Linked DNA regions of Styela clava. The protein of the gene in region 2 binds, or shares a complex with, the protein of the main gene of each other region. Links are inferred from orthologs where the notes say so. Each region holds a gene or a part of one and is shown on either strand. Other genes may lie near its edges.

Region 1 (12,342 bases), on a different chromosome or scaffold from region 2:
ATCAGCACTGAGTTAACAATGAAATAACAAATGCTCGGACAGATATTCGAACATAGTTGTAAACATTGTCTCTTTTGGTAATTTTGAGCCTTATTTGTCCATTTTTAGATGTGTTTTTAGAGGTCAAAGGTCAGGGAAACGTCCATAGCTATAAGTTTGGTATGGTTTTCTGAAATGAGGTAATCTGTTCTTGGTGAGCTCGATACAAAATAAAACCTGTTAAAAGTTAGGGTCCCATCACTGAGTATAATGTAGTGTTCAAAATATCATGTCTGCTTCGTCTTAACTGCCACGATTAAACATACAGGACTGGTATTTGTGCAAACAAATGGGTGCCCTGTCATCCTTAGTTTAGTTATGTGGCTTAGAACAGATTTCGCCAGGTGAGAAACACTATACATGCTGTATAAGTAACAATGAAACACATAGGCATATCTAATAACTCGTTCCCATATTTTAAGCTTGAAAAAGTCTGGGCTTCAATGGGAGCGGTGCAGCTCTGATCAAAATCTTGCTTGGTGGACTAATAAGGATGGGCAACATGGAACAATTTACTGTTCTAGAATAGTTAAATTGAATCCAGAATACCAAATCATATTCTATTTTCATGACTGGGTTCAAGTTACCTTCTCCTACAATGTGTTACTGATGTCCCAGCTTACGGATAAATATTCTGGAAATTTTTCAAACCTTCATGATTGAAATTTCAGGAAATGGATACATTGTGTACCCCAAAGCAAAACTTACGGATTAACTATTTGACCTGAAGGGCACTCCATTGTATTACTATAATTTATATAAAAGCCGGCACTATGCTTCTTTTCGCATTCTTCTTACCCACAGGATAGCAATAAGAATGATTCCTTCTGATGCGTAAGATCTTGAGAGGTCCCATTCATATTTAATGAACAAAAAAGAATTGGCTATTGTCTATGATTGCATAATATTAAAAAAATATTTATTTTTTTAATTTAACACCAACAGATTCTAAAGCATCACAAGCCCATGCAGGAAAATTAGATTGATCTTCAAACAATTCTAAAAACCTTTCTTTAATAAAGTCTGGGAATCTATCTAAGCTAATAGCTTCCCTGACAGCTGCCATTAGATCAGCCTGGTATTTTACATTATGAATAGATACCATACTGCAGGCGCTTGGGTTATTATTCTTAAATAGCATATGAAGATACGCTCGGCTGTAATCTCGACAAGTGGAGCATTCACAGTTTTTATCGATGGGTTCAAAATCTTTTGAAAATTCGACACGCTTCAAATTTATTTGTCCTTTCCGTACTAGAGCTACACCAAATCTAGCAGTCCTCGTTGGAAAAACACAATCGAACATATCACAACCTAAAGCAGAGCATACGATTAGGTCAGCAGCGTAGCCGACACCCATTAAATATCTGGGCTTATTATCAGGCAGTCCATCTGTGCTTACAGTCACCATCCTCCAAAAGTCGTCTTTGCATTCACCGCCACTCAAACCCCCGACAGCAAATCCATGAACATCTCTTGAAGTCATTTCTTTCAGACAATCCTTCCTTAACTCTTCATCCAATCCACCTTGAATTATAGGGAATAAATTTTGTTCTGTCTGTCTTTTGTGGGCTGCAATGCATCTATCGAGCCATCTGATTGATCTTTTTGTAGCCAAACGAAATCGGTCCTGATCTGTTTCAGTGCTGCTCACCTGGAATATTGAAAATTATATTTTTATCAAACAATTACACAGAAAATACCATACATGAAATCAACCACGGGCATTAATTTGAACATCCTGGGTCAGAAATGGCTAAATATAATCTAAACTATATTTTTTTAAATGAGCAGTAGTTATGTGAACCATCATAAAATGTTCGACAATCCTCATACATAACGGCCTCCAAGGGATTCAAACCTCTAACCCCATGAAACACAACCAGTGCACAATGATAAACTTATATCTATTATGCTATCGAAGAATCAGTCATCCAGCTGAGACATTGGTTGAAATTGACCAACCATGTATGACTTGTGTACAGAGACTAAAACCAGAATAGTGGTGCAATATAAAAGTTTATGGGCAGTTACATAAATATTGTCCATAATCCTTCTAACATAATAAACGAGAATATCGGTTGGAAACCGAAGACTTATCGATCGATAGTTAGGGGATCCCCCAAAACAGAAACTGCAGTTTCGATTCATCAGCTCTTGTAACTTGCGCACTGCGCATCGCACACACACACTCGGCGGGTTTCAAAATTCTCTCGCTTTACAAAAATCTAGATCACTATATCAATAATTGATTGATAACTCGCTAATTATACGACATAATTCGCCCAAAATCAATAGGGATCTGGTACGAGATAAAATGAATGCACATGCAAAATCTGGAGCAGATTCAATCTCGCTTTCGTGAGATATCGCGTGCATCTAACAGACACACAGACACACAGACAGACATACATACATACAGACAAATACCTATCAATATACTTACCGATCTTAAGATCGATAAGTAATTAGCAAAATAGCACTATTAGGTATTTCAAGCTCACCACATCATCCAGTTGCATCATGATATCAGCCCCAATAGCATTCTGTATTTCCATTGATTTCTCAGGTGATAACATCATTTCAGTTTCATTGTGTGGATGAATGAACTTCACTCCTTCTTCAGAAAATTCTGCCAATTTAACAAGTGACACCATCTAAAAAAGATAATGCCCATTTGTTACAATTTCTAAATCGATAGTTTTAATTGATATTGTTGTAGGTTCTCATTAAAAAAGTCCACGGAAATAGATAAAACCATTATAGTAAAACAGGTAATCAGGTTCGAGGGTGGTCCAAGACGAATTGGATACATTCAAAATGGGTATATATACAATTTAGAAAATTTTCTATAATAAATAAATAAAAAGAAAATAAGAAAAATATAATTTCATTTGTATAAATTTAGAACAATGAAAATAACCCATATTAGAATACATAAAATATAGTAAATTAAAAGGTTATGGCCAGACACAAACTTTTGTCAATATACCTGAAAACCTCCACTATCAGTAAGGAGGGAGCGATCCCAGGACATAAAGTTGTGCAATCCTCCAGCTTTTTTTAATATTTCTTCCCCTGGTTTGTTTCCAAGATGATAAGTATTACCAAGCATGATTCGTATATCGAGATTTTCTAGCTGCTTTGGCGTGATTCCCTGACAAATTGGGAAAATTTATAAATGAGTGAAATAACAGGTTTGGCCGTAAAAATAAAGGTTTAGTAAATTAACAAAACTCATTTATTGACTATCAATATCACTCTTAAATTTGATGAATTGAAATACTACACCGTTACAATCTATTAATCAGAATAAGTTGACAAAACATATTTTAATTGGAGACATCAAAAAATTTCAGCTAAAATTGTAGCTAACAAAAAAAATATCTTTCTAAATTCCATGATACCTCTACCGTTTTTAGCATTTTCTCTCAACTTGAGGTATTTGAACATATTGGGCTTGAGTGAGTGGGAGCTTGATCTCATATCGAGCAAAATCTCATAGGAGCACAAAGTATCGTCAATCAACAAAGAAATTAATAGTAAAGCTGGACAGTTGGCGCATAGTACAAATCCTTAGGAATACCATCCACACTGCATCTCTAATTACCTTGCCAGTTAGCATCCCTTGGACAGATATCGGCAAAGAGATTGCTATGCTGATCACTTACTGATAAAGTTCAACTGGTTAAAGTTTCACATACCCAGCATGTATTGGGAAACATATGAAAAGAGGTAGTTTGACATAATATGATTGATAAATATAAAAACACTATTATACTTCCTAGTATGAACAAATCCTATATTTGAGTGATATAAATACCTTCAAAGTTCCCTGTGTTCCAACTGGCATGAATACTGGGGTATCAACGATACTATGAGGTAACTTCAACTTTCCAACACGAGCTTTTGTTGTGCTACACTTCGCAACAATCTCCATGCTGAAAAGTTTGGTATATACAGATATATTTAATTTCTGGTTTAATATTCGGCCTGGGTGTGCTCAGTGGAGTAGGAGAATTACCAGACCAGAGTTACCCAGCCTAAACATGTGCTGCATGCAAGGGCTTGAAGAACTTTTATACTCAATGTAAAGCTATCAACAAAAACTTGTTTGTGCTGGGGTCACTCTGGTGTATAATGGTATGTATAACTTTGGCATCTGAATTTTGCCATTTAAGCATACGCCTATCATGTTTCTGTATTTACAGATTTAACTTTGAGACAGGAAATAACTTATCCCCGTATAGTGCCGTGTCTTTTGTTAATAACAAGGTAATACTGTACCGTACAGCAGTAGTATGCTTATCAATCACTCAGTCAATTGTACTTTATACTGTTATAAGGTTGCACATACATCCATAGATAAAAATAGGCCTACGCATGAAATAGAATATATCGACTTACCTAAGAGTTGATGATGTATACGACAAATTCGATTGAGCCATCATATAGTATTCGTGTATCAGAACAACGTAGTTTCTTTACAGCTTTATGAATGAATATACTGTAATTCCACGCTATTCAAACAGAGAAGCTTTGCCGCGTCGTACACAGACGAACTGATGACGTCAATCGCGTGCCTGTCGGGCATTATCAGGTCTGGAAAGGCGCAAGGTTGATCCATAAACTAATTCAGCAGGGCTGAAACCCAAATCTTAGGATAGGATAGGATTTTACATATTTATCCCGGGGGATAGGAAAGCCGATAAGACGGTTTATCCATATGGCGAACCACGGCCTCTCGTCCGGTTACCATTCCAAGTTGGGTATGGGATTAGTTATATTGTTTGTTTTCAGAAGCATGGATTTGGTGGTGGAGGAAGCCGTAACCGACCAGCGGTTACGTGAACCACCCAAATCTTCTTTAACGACTGATCGAATACCAAGTAAAACAAATCCCAAATTCGGAAACCAGTCAGATGGGTGATCGCAAGCTCTAAGAGAAGCTTTAACAGTTCGATTAAGGCGCTCGACCAAAGAATTTTCTTGAGGCCGATATGGTGCTGTCAATATATGTTTTGAGCCAAGAAACGCCATGAAGTCTTTCCAAGTTGTTGAAGTAAATTGCGGTCCATTTTATGTATTAACAGTACTGAGAGCACCAAAGTGGCTGTTATAATTATTAGTTAAGGCGTGTACGATTGTATTAGTTAAACTGTCTTTCAATGGTACACAAATTGGATATCTTGTATATCTGTCAATTATCATGAGCAAATTAATTTTTATTAACTACCAGTATGTAATTTTTCATGTTCCCTTTACTTAATAACTTCTATATGGTTGTGTGTGTGGGTGCGTGTGAGCGTGTGTGAAATATTTCAATTATTTTAGGTGAGTGAACACGTACCACATGTTCTTGGCAAAACCTTCCATCTTATATACATTCTGTACGTTTTAAACCTTATCTAAGGTTTTGTTCGCTCTCCTGATTTCATAATCAGTTTTTATTTATTTATTTTAGCATTCATTTTATTGTTTTGCTGATTATGGAGTCGAAATAAACTTATACTTATTATACTTAAATAAACATAACCATGAGATTGAGGGAGTGGTCCGAGTAAGTCTACATTGATAGTGCTAAAACGTTCATCTGGAACTTTAATGTTTTTCAATTCTGATCGTATGTGTCGTTGAACTTTTGCTTTCTGGCATCGTATACAGTACACTCATGAACAAATTTACGAATGTCTTTATTCATATTCGGCCAAACATATCTGTCTCTAATAAGCTGTTGGGTTCCTGATATTCCTGGGTGACACAAACTATGAGTTAGGTTGATAATGCGTTGACGTAACGAAGTTGGAATATATGTTCGTGGTTTTCCAGCGAGGCTGATGTCGCAAATTATATTTCCCGCTAATTCGGGTACTGGTGATGCTATTAATTGTAGAGAATGCTTGCTGGCGTTCTTCAGAAGTTGCTTGAGCTCGTGGTCATTTTGTTGGGCGTTGTAGATGTCAATCAAAGGGATAATTTCCTGTTGGGGAACAACGGCGTTTATGGCACCATTCTCTGTGGGGTGAAATTCAATACGGCTTAATGTGTCGGCCGCGATATTCAATGCACCGGCAATGTGTTTTACTGTGAAATCAAAAGTTGATATGTATTCAAGCTGACGGGCTTCCCGTTGGACTTTGGACTCTTTCGGACTTTGAATGGCCTGCACCAGGCTTTTGGAGTCGGAGATTAATTGAAATTTCCTGCCTGTCAATTCATGTCGAAATATTTGATGGATTCAAAAATAGCCAAAAGTTCTTTGCCAAACGTCGAATAAGTTTTCTGAGGGCCACGGAGGGCTCTTGAGAACATCCCCAGAGGTCTCCATTGATTATGTTCAAACATTTGTAAAACGCCTGATATTCCAATGTCAGAAGCGTCAGTAATTAAAGAAATAGGTGATTGGTGATTTGGGTGAACCAATAACGTAGCATTGGCTAAAGCATGTTTAATGTCATCGAAAGATTTCAAAGATTCATCATTCCATTTGATACGGGAACGTTTACTAGGTTTTCCAATTGTCATCTCATTTAAAGGTCGTATAATAGTAGCAAAATTCTTTACAAAACGATTATAATAGGTACAAAGGCCAATAAAAGATCTCAATTCTTTCAATGTATTCGGTTGAGGATAATTTTGCAAAACTTCCACCTTATCGGCTAAGGGCTGTATTCCTTCGGGCGTGACATGATGGCCCAAAAATTTAATTTCTGATTTGTGAAAATGGCAATTATCTGTATTTATAGTCAGTCCATATTTGTGTGAGCGTTCGAGAACTCGATCTAGTGTTCTGAAATGCTCGTCTTCTGTTTTGGTTGCAATAAGGATATCGTCGAAAATTACAAATATATTTTCAATGTTCGCTAAAACTTCTGTCATGAAATAATTGAAGGTCGCTGGGGCAGGTGCCAATCCGAAACAAAGGGTTTTAAACATGTACATCTTGTTGTTGCAGGATACGGCTGTTTTTGGTTGATACGAATCCAAGATAGGAATATGATTATAAGCTTTTGTGAGATCAAGTGTAGTGAAATGACGGCAGCCATGCAATTTATTGACAAAATCGTATAAATGGGGTACGGAATTTTCTTTTCCTTGATCGTAATTGAATTCAAAAGTCTGAAATCGAGGCACAGCCTAATAGAGTTAGAACCACGCTTTGGGACGATTGTAACTGGAGAATTATAGACGGAATTACATGGAACAATGTCTCTTAAGGCTAACAAAGTTTTAATTTCTTGTTCAACAGCAGCTTGTGAATATGAAATGGAAGCGTACTTTTTTGCTTCTAACTCCTACCTGAAAAAGATATACTTAATACAAAGACAGTGTCTAAGAATATGCTGCGGCGCTATGAAAAGTACCTTCATTTTAAGTATACTAGCAGCTACGGGGGAATTACCTTTACATATCCGACATCTGCAGCTATGTCTTAATTATAAATGGAACCACATCTCTATAAATGATCGTCCTCTGAAATATATAATTGAAGAATCTTGGCAGGAATACTTTCCCGATTCACCTTTTTTCAAAACATTTAACATGTTGACAAGTTCGGATATTTTTAAAAATTTGGAAGTATCGAGATATCCCGTGTAGAGATGTACCGATACAACTTTTGTCGCCGATACCGATACCTGCTAAAAACGCCGATGCCGATACTACAAAAGGCCGATATTACCGATATTCCGATACCGATACTATGTAATTATTAATTGATTAGGTGTACTGTGTAAGACAGACAGGTTAAAACAATGGTCTTTGAGCGTTGTTCATAGTTCACATTATTTCAGATCGAATAAAAAGATATGTCACATAATATGAAATTAATGTTTGGTATCCATAATACTTCAACTGATTAAGATACATTGTACAGTAACGCTAGTAATCTTGGTGTTCAATTAGAAAACTCATAAGCCGGGATATCCAATTTGAATTTAATGTCAATATCGACCTTCGAATATCGTTATTCGTGTTTAAAAGAATATCGAATATCACCCACACATTCTAGCGCCGCCGCCCTACGTTCAAATTAAAAGCATTTTACAAATATTTTATTTTGTGGCTAATCGTAATCGTCGACGCAATAAGTCAAAGCCAACATGAGAGAATATCAATCAGCACCGACAAAAAAAAAGACCTACCTATAACCGTCGGGGATGTTTTTTTACTTTAGTAGTGTAGTTGAACAAAATTAAAATTAATACCTGCGTAGAGGGATAATTGTGTCGGAATATAGTTTATCGATGTCGACGGAATAAATGACACTTGTACTTGACGACAAACAGTCAGAATTTATACCCGTGCCAAAAGTCCATGTGCCGTTAATAAGGACCCCAATTCCACTGTATGTTTAAAACTGAGCGCCTAGTTGCTTTTTGTTATGTGCTGTGTTGATATATTTCTTCATGATTACTATGTAATATTGAAAATGTCAATATAAAAATTTGACAGCGAAAATAGTCACATTAGTTGAGCTAGTTTGGCTGATAAATAGCTAAAAACACGTGAATCCTATTCTCTCGCGGGGTGGGGACATGTATGTCATAACTCACGATCTCTTCAGACAAAAAATAAATTAAGAAGTAGTATTCCAACTTATCTTTAAAAACATTCTGGACCATATCAGAAAGTTAAAGAGTTATTAATTAATTAGTGATAGGACACAAGGTGTCACTATAAAGTAAGAGCGCTGTTTTGGGGAATCCCCTAACTTTCGATCGATAAGTCACCGGTCTCTGACCGATATTCTCGTATTCAATCTTGCTTTGAACATTATACATATATATGTTTACACGGACAGATCCAAAACAGATGAAGGAGTTGGCTGTTCTTTTTACGTGCTACAGAGGGAAACTACCATGTCCTTTTCATTACCACTAAACCAAACGTCATACACTGCTGAACTTTATGCTATAAGTATGGCAATGGAATGGATAAACATAAATCGCACTTCCTCCGTACTGATTTCTCCGGATTGTCTTGATGCTCCTAAAAGTATCGAATGTTTCAATAGTTCATCTCACCATCTGGTTGAACGAATAATTTATATACTTAATAATTCTAGGTCTACTCTGCCTTTCCTTCTCCATGCGGAAATCATATTCGTGGGGTTTATGATTTATTTATATATAACCCAGTTATACATCTATGATCATTTACACAAAGCGATTAAGTAAAAAAAACTCCCCCCGGCCCAGATGTTGTTTTTGTCCTACAAACTCCTCTGTACAAACAGTTTCGTATACTCCACCCTTACCTCTGTTATCACACACACTCACCCTCCTTGCACTGCCTGTATAAAGGACAATATTATACGTATTTGATTTACCGTATTATAATTTATAAATATCAAAAGGGGTGTATGCCGCACATTCGTGTTTTAGGCCAGTATGGTCTTGTGCATACATCCTGTCTTCAGTATTTATAATAATAAACATACATACATAGCATAGCTAAATTTCGAATCAAGGTCCCGCTTGAAAAAACCCAGTATTTTATTAATGGGTTCACAAAATATAACTTGTATCAAAATCATATATCAGCAATAGGAAAACAATGAAAACTCCAAGAAATGCAATTTTATGTTCTGTGAACAAATTTCTTATATATACCTAAATATTATTCCAGACCCTGAGCATATATTTTATAAATATCAGAAATATTGTTTTGAATTGATATGTTATTATTACAATATGTATAATATATATATTACAATACACATTACGATTGCAGCAATGGTAGTAATAGCCTATTTTAAACCGGAAAGATAAATGTTTCTCACACCAGTTATAATACACGCGACCAAAGTCCAAATTATTACTTTAGAACGATTAATTTTCATGTAGATATTTTTACTAAGGAAACCCACTGTGGAGATCGGTGTACAACGACAAAATACTTGAGGAAATGTTAGTAGAAGTCTTGATTACGAAGGGTGATAGAATCATGCATTCGATACTAAGGACAAGTCCAGTCAAATCAAGCGACGATGCGAAATATGACAATCTTTTAGGTATAGCTTGGCTTAATACAATGGTTTAACGCACTTAGGTAAGGTACAAAAAGAGAAGTACGTATTTCCGTGTATTCCAATTTATTGTATTCTAGCAGTCTGTATCACATTTATAATAGGACGTTAAGCGCGTAGCAATCTTCTTGTTGCCTGTCTCGTCCCGGGGTCAGTGCAAGGGTGTAAATAGAAGTATAAATCTTGTAATGTTAAATATTTACTGATTTAGTATCAATATACCTACCGCGGCAACTTGAATAACAATTAAAGAGAAAGGATGTATTTACCCATTCAAAACTCACGCCTTATAAAGGAGCATAAAATCACAATTCATTATCATCGTGGCGTGGTTTATACGTCTGGATTCGATGCACGCAAACACACATTTACGTCGATTCGCTTGCCAATAGTGAAGGAATGTGCGGATAAGGCGTGGCCCTCATTTGGCTCATTCTAAAAATGACCGAACAAACTTTACTTAGCACTCGAATAATGGAACCTCCTTTTCTTAGCCTTGTTTGTTTTATGGGAGTAGCCGTAACGTAGCGGAGGAAACGCGTCGATCGAGAACAGGTTGTTTTCGAACGTGTATATTGATATTTTGCGGCATTTTCGCATCGGAATAGTAGATACAGAGAATTGTAGTTGTTAAATAATGGTTCCGCGACATTCGTTACTTCCGTTGGATCGAAAAAGAGAAAACAGTAGCTGCAGAAACATGGGGAAATTCAGCACGCAAGTTGAAATGATTGTGTACAGGTATGACAAGAAATTGATATTTTATCGTTAAATTTTTCCTTGAGTGAACCTAGACAGGTTAGAAAGGTAATTTCATGTTTTTCTCTATAGCCTATGCTTGGACCTATGGAAAGTTCCTATTACAGTTACAGTATAAATTCTAATACAGTGCTGTTATAAATGCTTGAAGGCGATATTGCGTAACCAATGGGTCTATTTTGCGCTCAGTAGTAAAGAAAACTCATCTCGGAGCACAGACGACCACTTAGATATCGAAAGCTTCTGAAACCGCTATGTTGAAGCGTAAATAGCTCACAACCAACTGATCTACTACCTGTATTTGACATGTGTTTCAGTCTTTGATAATAATAGGCCACAAATAATTTACGTCTAAAACCAAATATGCTTGAAAATTCTTCAGCAACAATGGACATCCAGTCGTGTTCATATATATCTTGATTACAGTGCTGAAATCTCATTTTTAATGCGATCTGAAGGTTATTTTCTGCCATGCAGCAATCGGAAAATAAACGGACAGAGTAAATAGCACTGATTATCGTTTTAAGTAGTCGCCATATTCTCATACAAAACGATATTTTGGAATGATGCCTTAAAACAGTTGCCACGCTTGAGAAACTCGGACCAAAATACAAGCAATTTCAAAAAATATCGCCACAAAACAACTTTGAAAAATTTGACCAGATCACGGCTTGGATACAACGATTGCAAATAGTCTTTCACTATCGCTTAAATGCTTTGTATTACATGAATTACCTGGTTACCGGAAATGGTTTCATTTTAGGTTTATACTCAGTCTGGTAGTTGGATTCTTCCTCGGTTCGTATGTGATCACAAATCATGAAGTGTCCGTTGTACAGAAACTTGGTAAACTTGTGTGCCAAGGTCCACAGATTCATCGATTTGTCAAGTATAACCAGGACGCTGCACAGCACCACCAACAGCGTCAACCTAGGCTGGATAGAGAGAATGGACTGTTGTATATTGGTAATTTGAACGTTTTTTTCTTCTTGATTACACCATGGGGATGATCATTTGCCGAGGCAAACTATAGCGATGTTGAACGTAACGTTAAAGTTGAATGTCGCGACTGAAAGTATACCGTTAGTTTAACGTAGGGTCTACTGTGCCGACTACAAATGCGTGTAACGGGTAGCAGCCAGCAGGTGCAACACACATAATCTAGGATTAATAATTACATGCCACCCCAGAGAATAATGAATATGGATGTTTTTTAGACCCTTGACGGCTTTTCCCCAGAAAAAATCTTCCTATACTTTACAATTTTGATGCTTATTTTAACCACGTTTTCGCGAGTCAAGGCTTTAAAACTTGTTTACTGGTTTTATGATTTGACTCAGCAACCTGCTATTTAAAAGTATTGATAGTTGATTTTAGCCTGGTCTATCAAAGCTTATTGGGGACTAATAGGTGATCATTGCACCTCAACTGAAACTCTTCAAAAGACGAAATTACCTTTGAGGTATTTGATTTATGTCTGAATTTCGCAAACATAACTAAAAAATAACAAAGAA
Region 2 (11,959 bases):
TATGAGCATACGTAAGCTTTTCTTTAATTGTCCTGTAGAACAATTTTGTACTTGCTACAATATGCCTAGAATCAATCTTTATAAAATGAAAGTAGTTTTTTTAGTGATCGAAATTGTTTCAGAAATAATCAATTTTATCGCAATTTGTGGGAATTCCTGATTTTTAATCAAATTCAAAATTTTCAATGGGAGCTGGAAAAGAATTGGGTTAACGAAACATTAACAACAAATAATCAAAGAACGCTTGCATGTGCTAAAGTTTTTGTAGTCAGAATTTCGTTTTGGAAGTGCTGTCAAGTGCAGCATTGAGTTTAATAAATGGCCAAAAATTTGCAGTTTGATGTGAGTTTACCCTTGTCACCTTGCCCTATTATTTTCTTTTTTTTGTCTCTAATAGTGTAAAGACTTTTTGTGGTATATTAAAATTTTTGTTATCTTCAATAAGATTCTACTGAAAATGAGAATGTTGAAACAAAACTTGTTGATAAATCATCTGATCGTTTTGTTGTTGTGGATTCTGACGATAATACAGGTAAACACACAAAAGTTTTTGTATTGACTGTAAAACTAAACCATATGTGGTTTGGAGCTAGTCTAGCTCAGTGGTTCTCGACCGGGGGCCGCGGACCCCCGGGGGTTCGGAAAACATTTCTAGGGGGACCGCGATTAAATTAAGATTTCAGGAAATTATTTGCAGTTCATTATCGTTTTTTTGTAACACGCTCGGACATTTGCTGCCTGTGACAATAGCCTACAAAAACTATTTTGATTTATCTCCCGTAGACCTATTGTGACAAATACGAGTTATGACATCACAATGATAAATACGAGAACGCAGCTACAGTGATTTCGAGGGCATGTAGTCACTGGTCACGTTCTTATTTGAAGCGAAGTATCTAGTTGTTCTACATCCAATGTGTAACAAAGAAATTTGTGTTGCTTACTAAAACTTAAGTACCCCTCAGTGTGAGAGAGTGGCAAGGAAAAACCGCAATGCCTTTTATGTTATGCTGTTCTTAGCAACGAAGCCATCAAAGCTTAAGCGTCACTTGCAGCAGACACACCCAGAACATACCGAAGTGAAGTGACAAAAATTATGCGCAGGTGAAAGACGTTGACATCAGTTCTGCTTGTTCAATTTGTTACAAATCTATTTGTGCGAATCTGGTTTTTCTGATCTTGGTAGCATCAAAACCGTCTCAAGGTTGACAGTGATATTTGTCTTGCTATATCAAAGACTGTGCCTAATATCAGGAACCTCGTCAGACAAGCGCAAGATTCCCATTGATCGTATAATAAAAAGCTTGGCCTTTCTTGTCTGTGGGTTGTTTTTGCATTCCATAAAATGTCGTAAAACATCATACGATCCAACACGTTTAGTTTTTGGAATGACGTACAGGGGGTTCGCGAGAGCAAGAAGGCGCCGGAAGGGGCTACGAGCCGTAAAAGGTTGAGAACCACTGGTCTAGCTGTTGCATAGGAAGCATTTGTTTTTTACCTCCATGGCATTGATTTAGTTGTTATTTTTACTATAATTTTGCAAGATTGAGTTAGTGTTCAAGTTAACAAGATTTTAATTTGTTTTGAAATCTTGAAAAAACAATTTCATAACTCAAAAGGTTATAAATCCAGTGTCACCACCAGTTAACATGTCACCACCACATTGGATAAAAAAAACAATTTTTTAGGCTTGATTAAGCCAAAGCATTCCACCTTGTTTACCTAGGCTATGAATTCGAAATGCTGTTGCTAGTCTTAAAGATTCAAGTCACGCTACGTCGTGTATGCCAATATTTTAATTTAGAATCTGATTCAATAAAAATATTCACTCACAAACTTCTAATTACTCGATTAAACAAACTTAAAATCGGTTTTGTTGCACAAAATTTTTCTGTTTCTAATCACCTTTGAAATTAAATTTTTGCTGGGTTCTTTAAAGACGAGGTAAGGCTTCACCTAATGTGTGTATGTGTGTTCACAAAGATTTTAAATCTTTTAAGCTGTAACTTTCGATTTGTAATTTTTTTTTGCTTCCTGTCACAACTCACATAAAAAGGAGATTTTTTTGATAATTATCTGTTTTGGATTGTTGTAATTGTGCACTTTTTTATGTTGTTAGATATAGTGTGCATGAGAAGGTAGTTTAGTGACTCAAGCAAGTGTAAAATGAAACAATGGTGGTGTAGGGGCCGGACCTGGGTAAAAATCTCGAAACCCCAAGTAGATATGCAAGCCAAGTCACAGGTCATCTTAAATCAAAAAGAGAGTCAATCACTGTGTTAAGTCTCACTACTGGTGGTCGGTTGATGGATGACAAGTCTCAATTATTTCATTTAGAGGTGGCTCAAGTCATTCTCGTAGTCTTTGATATACATTGACTCGAGGGAATAAGGTGATTTTTAGCATATGGTTAACATACACAATTGTATTTATATAACTGTATTGCCTTCACAGCAGAAAAAGGTCTACCAACAAAGGCTTTATCCTTCCGAAATAAAATATTAGACATGACGATGTCACCTGAATCAAAAGATGTCAATTCAAATGTTGAAAATTCTGGCATGAGGGTTCCTGGCTCTCGTCCAAGAGCTTTTTCTCGCACTAAAGAATCTGAACATTTGCTGGCTGTCAACGCTAAGCAAATGGGAAGGTAGGTTCACACTAGTACCGCTATTGCTTTAAAAAACGCGGTGTCCTATCGACTCCTATGGCTCGATGCGCCTTATGTACGAATAAAAATACAATCTGAGCACTTTATTGACTGTGCATCTCATGGTCTGTAAAATATGGTACTCAAAAAATGAATTGGACTTTTTTGGACAAAGTACGGTACATTATTACATGATAGTGGCAAAATTAGAATATAATGGAGCCTCATTTTTTAGAGATCTACACAGAGATTTACCTTTGTCACAACGTAAAGCAATGCTAGAAAGCCAAACACAAAAAGTTGAAAATGAATTGCACAGTGAAATTGAAGAGAAAGAAAGGCTAATACAGGTAAAACATATTATCAAATTTAAAATTTCTTTATTTTAAAACACTTGAATTTATATATTTGATTTTTAGGAACAAAAGCAGGCGGGGAACACTACACCTCAATGGGATAAATTGAATAAGAAAATTTTGAAATCAGATGAGAGATTGCAAGCACTGGCATTACTTTTACTTCATTATAGAGCAGGATTAGAAGATTGTGAATTTGATTCAACTACTCATGGTAATTTGTTAGCTACGGTATATAAAACTCATATTCAAATGGTGGTGTTTGAAAGATTAAAAAATTGTTATATGTATTCAAATTACTGATCCTAGATGTCAAAACCAATAATTTTATTCTCTTATCAGTACATTTCATACATTAAGCCGAGAACTTTATAGACACTCGAATTCTGCTTATTTATTTTATGCCTGTACATTAAAAACCAATATTTTAATTAGTATAGCTTTATAGAGGTAAAGGAATTGCTATTTTTACCATAATGCTAATATAAGCTAATTTTTGTATAATTAATATGTATAAGTTTTGATTTTGAGTCCATAAAAATGTGTATCCTGGTGTGAATGTGGTCCGTGGTTGAAAGCTGACCATTCTCCACAATGTCAATTTCATTTTTCTTTAAAATTCCATTATTTTCTGCTATATTGAAAAAAACGCTGCTATATTGAAAAAAACTCTTTTCATTACTTCAATTTTATTCCAGGCTTTGTTTGCTTTTCTACCTTGGCACTATGTTTAGATGTTGTTGACATTATCTGTTTGTGGATGAATCTAACTTCCGAGTAAATGACAGTCATTATATATACTCTTATTTCTAGGTTTAGTATTATCTGACGATGAAGATGAAATATTCGGACAAGTTAGTTCCCACAATATACCTGAAGTTCGTATAGAAAATGCCACTGAAGATGAAGCCATCAATGATAATATGTAATTTTTATGTTGCCACATATTTTGTCCGCAGTATCTTAATGAAGCTTATTAAGAGTAGTTATGATATTCAAATGGAGTCCCAACTCTGTGATTTACTTTCTATTACACTATCTTTAAAAGCATTTGCTATGCAATTTTTTCATGCAAGTGATAATAGACTGCTATAGTGGTCATATACATCTTAACCTAAATAGTTGATATCTGGTTATGATTTACAAATCGAAAAGGCCGAAGACCATAAGAGGAATTGTCAAATTGTTTTGCTAAGTTTTTGTTGTTAATGTTTATATTGTTGTTGTTGCGATGCAAAAACAATTTTTCCTTTAAATATTGAAAAATGATTCATCATGTGCGGTAACGGATATCCATTTTACAAAAAGGACTAGCTTTATATTCACCATATTGCGAGATTCTGTGTTTTATTCATTTTTTAAATATTATAAGCTAATTCACACGGCATGTTACAACATAAAATTGTGCAATTTCATATTTAAAATATTATTAGCATAAGCTAACAACTCGTACCTCTTTTTATAAATTGCACCAGCTTCTATACATTTTAATAGTATGCACGTTCCATCTTTTTTTTCGGTACAAAACCATTTTAATGCAGCAGTAACTGGTCGTTCTTTTTTAAATATAATAATTCCATTCTTTAGGTTTAATTGCCACTGTATAGGTAAAACTTGGCATGTCATATTTTCTGGCTGTGGTATTTCTATTTGTCAAAACTTTCATTCTTACAGCATATAAATTGGTAAATGCAGTTATTCAGAACAGTGAGATTCCATGATGCTTTTTCCGTTTTTTTTTTAAAGTGAGCGGTTATTGGAATATTTTTATTAGCATTAGATCATATCATCCATATTATTGCCAGGATAAGTTCTACATACAGTGCCTACCTTTATGTGACAGTTTTGTTATTTTTCTTCCAGCTGTAAAAAAACGCGTTTTTATTATTATCGTACGCTTCCTTCTTCAAGTCCTGATATGTGGGTAAATGCAATATTGCTGTAACATTTTTTTTAATTCACTGTTTCTATATTTTGTGTACTGATGAGTAAATATAGCAGCAACAGATTAAAATTTGTGATTTTCGTTGAAAATTTTAACAAGTGCCTTGTACAAATTATAGTTGAATGCTTGATTCACTGTAGTTGTTGGTTATATCTTTCACTTGAGATGGGAACGCATAAAGCGTAGATTCGATTTTATGATGCGCTGTGTGAAAGATAGATTTATCACAAAGCCTACTCAATCACCTAAACGTATGCGTTACATCGCTGAATTAATATTTCGAAATATGGATAATGTCCATTAGAAAATGTCTCTCATATTTATTCTTGGAGGGTAGTTTTTAATATGGCAGGATAGCTGCGAAATTATGGATAATGTCCATTAGAAAAAGTCTCGCATAGTTTTTAATATGGCAGGAAATTCAAAATTGTTATGGTTTTCTTCTCTGTTCGAACACTAGATGTTAATTGTACAAAACCATATTCACCGCATAACTGATTTTGAGTGTGACTTCTGCACAACTAACGTCAACTTGCCTATATTGTTATAGCTGGACACTTCTCAAAATTAGGTACTCTTTATTTTATTAACATCTTTTTACAATAACACAAACTAAAAAATATAAAACGTGCAATTTCAGTCACAGTTAACAATGTCCACTCGTAAATATAGGTAATGGCAAGAACACAGAAATTGAAATAGGAATGATATTGAGGCAAGAAAATAGCACTTTATGAATTAAAGCAATTACTTGGCAGTACAGTTTCATATGATTGTATTGTCAAAATGTTAAGGCTTTAAAGTTGAGACACATAATAAAATAATATAAAGCAGTCACAGTGATATGACTGATAAATTTATATTTCATAATGGGAGCGAAGTTTAATTTTTGATCCCGCAGATGGATTTTTGAATGGGTTAAAGCAGGGGTGTGCAACCTCCAATACACAAGGGCCAGATACAAATAACTGGATGAAACCCCTGGCCGTACTTTGACTGGCATTGCAACGCAAAGAGATTGGAATTACCAGATTAAATTAAAAAGTTGTTTCGTGGGCCGCACACCAATCAAAATGGCACTTCTAGGCGGGCCGTACAAGTTTTCCTTGTGGGCTGCATTTGGGCCGCAGGTTGCACACCTCTGGGTTAAAGTCTCGTGTAATATTCACTGACCAGATCAGAATAAATCATCGTTCAATAGGTAATTTTTTGGGAAAATAACTAAATTTTAGATGATTGTTACATATAATTGGTAGCAGCATATTAAAAAAGCTTCTGGGCACTTTATAAATACAGCAGTACTGAAGGAAACTTGTGATAGTTTGATAAAACTATATTATACACAGTTATAGATACAAAGAATTTTAACACTGAACTTTACGATTTATTATCATTATTACTACTAGGCAGAACTAGAGAATTCCCAATAGCTCTTCTTGCCTTTTTTCGTCGTAGGAAAAAGGAAATACATTCACCCATTGTTATCATCCATAATGTGCCAATTCCAATTGAACACCACCATTGCCATGTTGTTGGTAATGCCATCATTACTGCAATATTTAAGAATAAAGAAGATAATCTACATGTCTTTGTGTTGGACCACCTTCATTTTCAATAGAACTATAACTGGACTAAATAATAAGTCGCATCTACTTTTGAAAAATTACACTTCTCAATATGTCAGAAAATAATGATTTACATATTCATCTTGGGGGAGAAGAAAGATGATAATATAGCCACTCGTCCGGCTACCAGTCTGAAAACTAAATGCACACAACAAACAGAATGCAAAATATGATTAAAAGTTACCTGCACAACTGAGGATTAGGTGCACAAAGGTGATTGTTATTGCATAATCCCAAACACGAGACAAAAGGTAGAATGATATCAAAAGAGTGGTGCAAAAATATGTCAGCTCCATAGCAAGGAAACAAGCTGAAAAGAATTTAATTGTAAAAGTTCAGAAGTCTGGAGGTAGGTTTTAAATTACCAGTCTCAACCTTTTATACCTACTTCTATTTTCTATACTTACCAACGCTTTCTACTGAGCCAGTGGAAAAGTCCAGGTTTGACATGGCTACAAAATTGAATGGCTGACGTCCATCAAATGTTGATTCAACATGAAACACTCCGTGCATCAAAGCAGACATTGCGAAATAGATGCAATAAAAAGTAAACAAACATACTCCAATATTTTGAAGTATCAAAATGTTGGATCGCTTCAATTCTGGACTACAAGTACGTCCCTCATTTTCATCATCAGATTCGGCAGCCATTACTTTTTATAAACATCTCAAAACTTCTGAAAATTGCGGCCAAACACCCGCACCTGAACAGTCTTTCCTTTCACTAACCGAGCCGAAGACACAATAACGAACGCAACACGTAGTAAACAACTCAATAATATTACCGAATGTCATATCATTTGTTGCGCTTAGTGTAATATGCCGAAACACAGCGCACTGTGTGAGTAACAATTTTTTATTCAAAGTTAAGAGGAACAAATCAATATGAAATTCGTTTATCGATTTCCATGATGAACGCATGTGGTAGGTTCACGGTTAACTGAAAACAGGCGTTCGCTTAGGTATTGCCTCGCCTACTATAAAACGATACGGTCATTTCACAGTATGAAGACTGATATTGTGACAGTCAAAGGTATTAGACATGGGACTTTTTGCAACGAAAGAAACGGGGTGAGAATAACTTGATCATTCCAATTTACAGATTTCTGAAGTTTATATAAAGTCTGGCTAGCAGTACAAATATTTTCACCCATACTCCTTTGTTTTAGGTTAAAAAGAAAACTCTCTTTCCAACGTGTATGCTATCAACAAATTGTGGTACTGTGCCAAATCTATCTCGTGAAACTTATTCCTACATTCCAGTGCATTTGCATCCTGATGTTACAGAGGTGAGGCTTGGCCCAGCAAAACAGCGCGGCGGTGTGGCTCAACGGGCTAAGCGTTAGGAATACGCTCGCCACCGCACCTCTGATTACTCTGCGTGGGTTCGCAGGTTCGAATCCCATGCAGGGATGGTTATGTGCGAGAGGATTGCTGGACTCCTCGCCGTCGTTGGGTGGTTCACGTAACCGCTGGTCGGTTACGGCTTCCTCCACCACCAAGTCCATGCTTCCGAAAACAAACAATATATAACTAATCCCATACCCGACTTGGAATGGTAACCGGACGAGAGGCCGTGGTTCGCCATATGGATAAGCCGTCTTATCGGCTTTCCTCTCCCCCGGGATAAATATGTAAATCCTATCATATCCTTATCCTAACATGTTAAGATAATTTTTCATAAAAGGTTTCTGTCAGTTACATTAAAATTTTTCTAAGTGTTTGGAATACGTTTAACATTGCACCGCAAATTAACCTGTTCGGGTTTGCAGGATCCCATGAAGAATGAAATTGTGCCAGCTGGCTACAGGATTGCTGAACGGGTCTTACTACTTACTGAATACAGCGCGAAACACCGCAAAGAGCGCAAAACATCGCAAAATAGCGCGAAACAGAGGAAAACAGCGCGAAACAGAAGGAAACCAGCGCAAAACAGAGGGAAACAGGAGACGCAGTCATTACCACCTCCTGTCACGAAAGAACCACGGCTATTTCCGGCATATTTACAAGGTTATGTACCGGATTATAGGTCATCATGCGAAATTTTATCTACCTTTTTGGTGCTCCAGAGGTATGTGCAGCAATATGTCGCACAACCTGAATCCGCTACACACACACACACATACTATTTTCAGGTTGTGCGCCATCTTGGTGCACATACTTCTGGAGGTCCCTTTTTACCTAACCCTAACCCTGAAGCCAACCATATCCTTATGGAAAATGTCCTAAATTATGGTACCCAAAATTTGTCACCAGCAGGGGCAGACCTGCCATTACAGCATTACTGGCTACATACGTTGGTTTGTGTTTTTAATTTGCTGCCGTGGTACTCCAACTCAAAACAAGGTGCCCCGAACTCATTGCAAAGTTTTTTTCTGCTTCACACTGTTTCCCTCTGTTTTGCGCTCTTTCGCGCTGTTTTGCGCTGTTTCCACACTGTTTTGCGCTGTTTCCCTCTGTTTTGCGCTGTTTTGCGCTCTTTGCGGTGTTTCGCGCTGTATTCAGTAAGTAGTAAGACCGTTGCTGAACTACTCATCATCGCAGGGTTGTTCACATAACCCCGTAGCTTCCTGCACCATCCAAGTTAATACATCTTAAACAATTAACTGTTAAGTTGAATACGCCCATACTCGACTTGGTCGAAGTAACCTAACGAAAGGCTGTGGTTTTACATATGATTCTCCATCCTTTATCTCCTTGAAATAAATATGAAAATCCTACCTGAAAGTCATTGGGCATAATCATTCAATTCTTATGTTGATTCTCCGACGTAAATCAAAACAACATAAAAAGTAAAGGGACAAACAGAATGCAGAGATACTAGGGAGACGAGCATAACTTAGAATTAAGTTAAACATTAAAATAATAATTTATTTATCAATACAATTTAGGTTCCTGTACAGTCAGTCATTGATCATGAATCAATATTTTCATCCTATGCTGGATGGAGTGGTGAATTGATGAGATTGTCAAAATCTTCTCTTCTGTATGTATCAACCCAAGACCCACTTTTATCCCTGAAGACTCGCAACAAACCAGATGCTGTGCAAAATACAACAAAGGTAATTCAATCATAGGTTGGCTATTTTTATTTGCTTTTCATACTGTAGAATACAAACTTTTGTCTCTTGAATGCGATTGATATTGTTGCTCGTCATTACAAAAAACTGAAGTCAGGTAATATATATCAGGTAATTTTATTCCTCTTTGCAAAGGTGGTAGAGTCCTACTAACTAATGGCTTCAAAGATCTGGTAAAGCTCAAATAAATACCCATAGCCACCATTAGGGGTTTCAAGATAGTATGCTTGTATAATAGTCAGGGCTGCCATCAATATGAACCCAAAAATAAGGACATCGAGGAGGCGTAATAATAAGATAACAAAGAACGCAATGTAATAAACGAAATGTATTCATGCCAGTGCCACCCGTGTCTAATCATACTTTGCACTAGAAAGAATTCCTCCCAGCAGTTCTTTACTCTTAGAAACTATCTGTTCCATCTCACTTCCGAGTTCACTTCCACTTGTAGAATTAAATTAGATTAAAATTAGATTCTCTACTGTATTTTGGTTCAAGTTACATGAACTGATCTTTGCCGGTAGGGTATTGTTTTGACCTTGTGGTTAATTAATTTGCTGTTATTATGTCATGAATGCATGTAGAAATCAATGAGGTTCTGATATCATTTCTAGCAGATGAATCATTCGAATTAACCAATCTAAAAACACGATATAAGAACATCTACCCCTAAAATAAGATTTAGGACACATGTCAAAATAAGGACGTTTCTTTTAAACAAGGACAAAAATATTTTCTGAGACATAAGCCCTCAAAATAAGGACTAATCTTAGAAATAGGGACGTTATGGCAACCCTGAACATAGTGAACATGAATCAGCTTAAAGTCAAGTTATCGGATCAGATGAGTCTTCTACAGCAGCTGTCACTGACTTTGTGACAATTTTACTCATTGATTTGGGAGGGCACACATTGCAGAACAAGGCCGAGAACATGCAGAATATGGATAATGTAGATAATGTATATCCAATGATTTAGAAATTTCGTTATGCAGAAAAGGCGATAAAATTATGGTATAGGATGGTTCGTTTTGGATTTCTGTTGCTATTATGTTGATCATAATATCAAAACATTAAATTACTCTGTCAATATTAAATCTAAATTTCGATATTGAACTTACTCGTTATGCAGAAATATTCCCCCAGAGATGTTCTTTTTATTAATTTTGTTGGCAAGTTAAATTACAGCGATCGAGCAACTGGGTGTATATGAATATGATAGAATTTATATGCCTGATGTGAACTTGCCAGTCAATGGTTTATGCAAGTTATAAGGCCCGATTTCGAATTCAATATATTCTTTAACAATGGTTTTATTCAAAAGTTGTATCAAACTGCCTTTCCACTTATGTCTGCTTTGATTGTAATATGAAATAATTTTGGTATTAGTAGTTCCTTTTCAATTTTTTCTTTTACAGGCAGTTTCAATTTGGGGAAACAAAGGTAGGATCGCTCTGGACGTTGAAAAACATTTGCAATTAATTTCAACTTTGACCCCTGATATTTTCGAAGTATTAGCTGATGGAGACACAATAGCTGAAGATGTTTCTAACAAGCGCGTGTCAAAATCTTTTGCAAACTCGTTGAAATTTTTGGAACAAAGTTTAAAGTTGCATAAGGAGAATGAAAGGTATACATATTTCTCTCTATGCAAACTTGAGCGAGCGACGGTAAGAAAAAATCCCCCACTCACTGGCTGGATGCTTTACACATTGCGTTAACCTTTTGTTGGTATTTTTCAAATTTTTTATCAAGCACTTGGGTCCTTGCTTTGTGCAAACTTGTTATAGAAAAAAGCATTAGGAACATCGCACCATTATCCGTATATAGAGATAGGCTCGGCGGTGTGACGCATCATACTAAGCGTTAGGAATACGGCCGCACCTGATTACCCCACATGGGTTTCGAATTCCCAGATTCGAATCCCATACAGGGATATTTATGTGCGAGAGGATTGTTGGACTCCTCACCGCTGTAGGGTGGTTCCCTCATCAAGTCCATGCTTCCGAAAACTAATAACTGGCCAACTAATCCCATACCCGACATGGACTGATAACCGGCCATGGTTCGCCATATGATTAAGCCGTCCTTTCAGCTATCCTCTTCCCCGGGATGAATATGTAAATCCTATCTGTTAGCGAAGAACGATCATTAAAGTGTCAAGAGCTACTGGGGCTATAAATCATTATAGTAGAAGTAGAATTATAGAATTGCATTTTACTAAATTCCAGTTACACTTTTAGTGATTTTCACATTTAATGTAAAAGATAAATGAGCCCCTCTTGTATTCAATTAAGTAATGCAC

What was found.
Region 1: the proteins of queuine tRNA-ribosyltransferase accessory subunit 2-like (region 2) and queuine tRNA-ribosyltransferase catalytic subunit 1-like are in contact, whole or in part, in a crystal structure (PDB 7OVS), measured with the Mus musculus proteins. The link is inferred for Styela clava from reciprocal best matches to the Homo sapiens genes QTRT2 and QTRT1. Residues at the interface, in NP_001343258.1 of Mus musculus: Arg39, Thr40, Gly41, Ser42, Ala43, Pro44, His45, Leu46, Thr47, His48, Gln49, Thr50, Asn53, Glu70, His71, Glu73, Val74, Glu77, Tyr78, Phe85, Ile86, Gly87, Phe119, Gln342, Glu343, Phe345, Tyr355, Asn359, His360, Ala363; in NP_068688.2 of Mus musculus: Thr50, Thr53, Met54, Lys55, Gly56, Ile57, Thr58, Thr59, Glu60, Gln61, Ser64, Arg80, Pro81, Leu85, Lys88, Ala89, Phe95, Met96, Asn97, Ala307, Lys308, Phe310, Pro320, Thr324, His325, Ala328, Phe329, Ala332, Leu333, His335.

The regions. Positions count from the first base shown.
Region 1 is NC_135263.1:5,980,765-5,993,106, forward strand, and holds queuine tRNA-ribosyltransferase catalytic subunit 1-like, read right to left. Parts: upstream 4,634-12,342; 5' UTR 4,491-4,633; coding exon 4,447-4,490; intron 3,981-4,446; coding exon 3,863-3,980; intron 3,197-3,862; coding exon 3,032-3,196; intron 2,697-3,031; coding exon 2,544-2,696; intron 1,694-2,543; coding exon 959-1,693; 3' UTR 920-958; downstream 1-919. Other genes in the region: chondroitin sulfate synthase 1-like, read left to right, coding at 10,707-10,810, 11,592-11,794.
Region 2 is NC_135264.1:9,669,061-9,681,019, reverse strand, and holds the start of queuine tRNA-ribosyltransferase accessory subunit 2-like, read left to right. Parts: upstream 1-7,491; 5' UTR 7,492-7,581; coding exon 7,582-7,647; intron 7,648-7,745; coding exon 7,746-7,865; intron 7,866-9,467; coding exon 9,468-9,638; intron 9,639-11,072; coding exon 11,073-11,284; intron 11,285-11,959. Other genes in the region: PDZ domain-containing protein 8-like, read left to right, coding at 446-532, 2,455-2,650, 2,886-3,000, 3,070-3,220, 3,820-3,935; putative transmembrane protein 244, read right to left, coding at 6,329-6,501, 6,761-6,886, 6,984-7,227. UniProt on the Homo sapiens protein: Non-catalytic subunit of the queuine tRNA-ribosyltransferase (TGT) that catalyzes the base-exchange of a guanine (G) residue with queuine (Q) at position 34 (anticodon wobble position) in tRNAs with GU(N) anticodons (tRNA-Asp, -Asn, -His and -Tyr), resulting in the hypermodified nucleoside queuosine (7-(((4,5-cis-dihydroxy-2-cyclopenten-1-yl)amino)methyl)-7-deazaguanosine).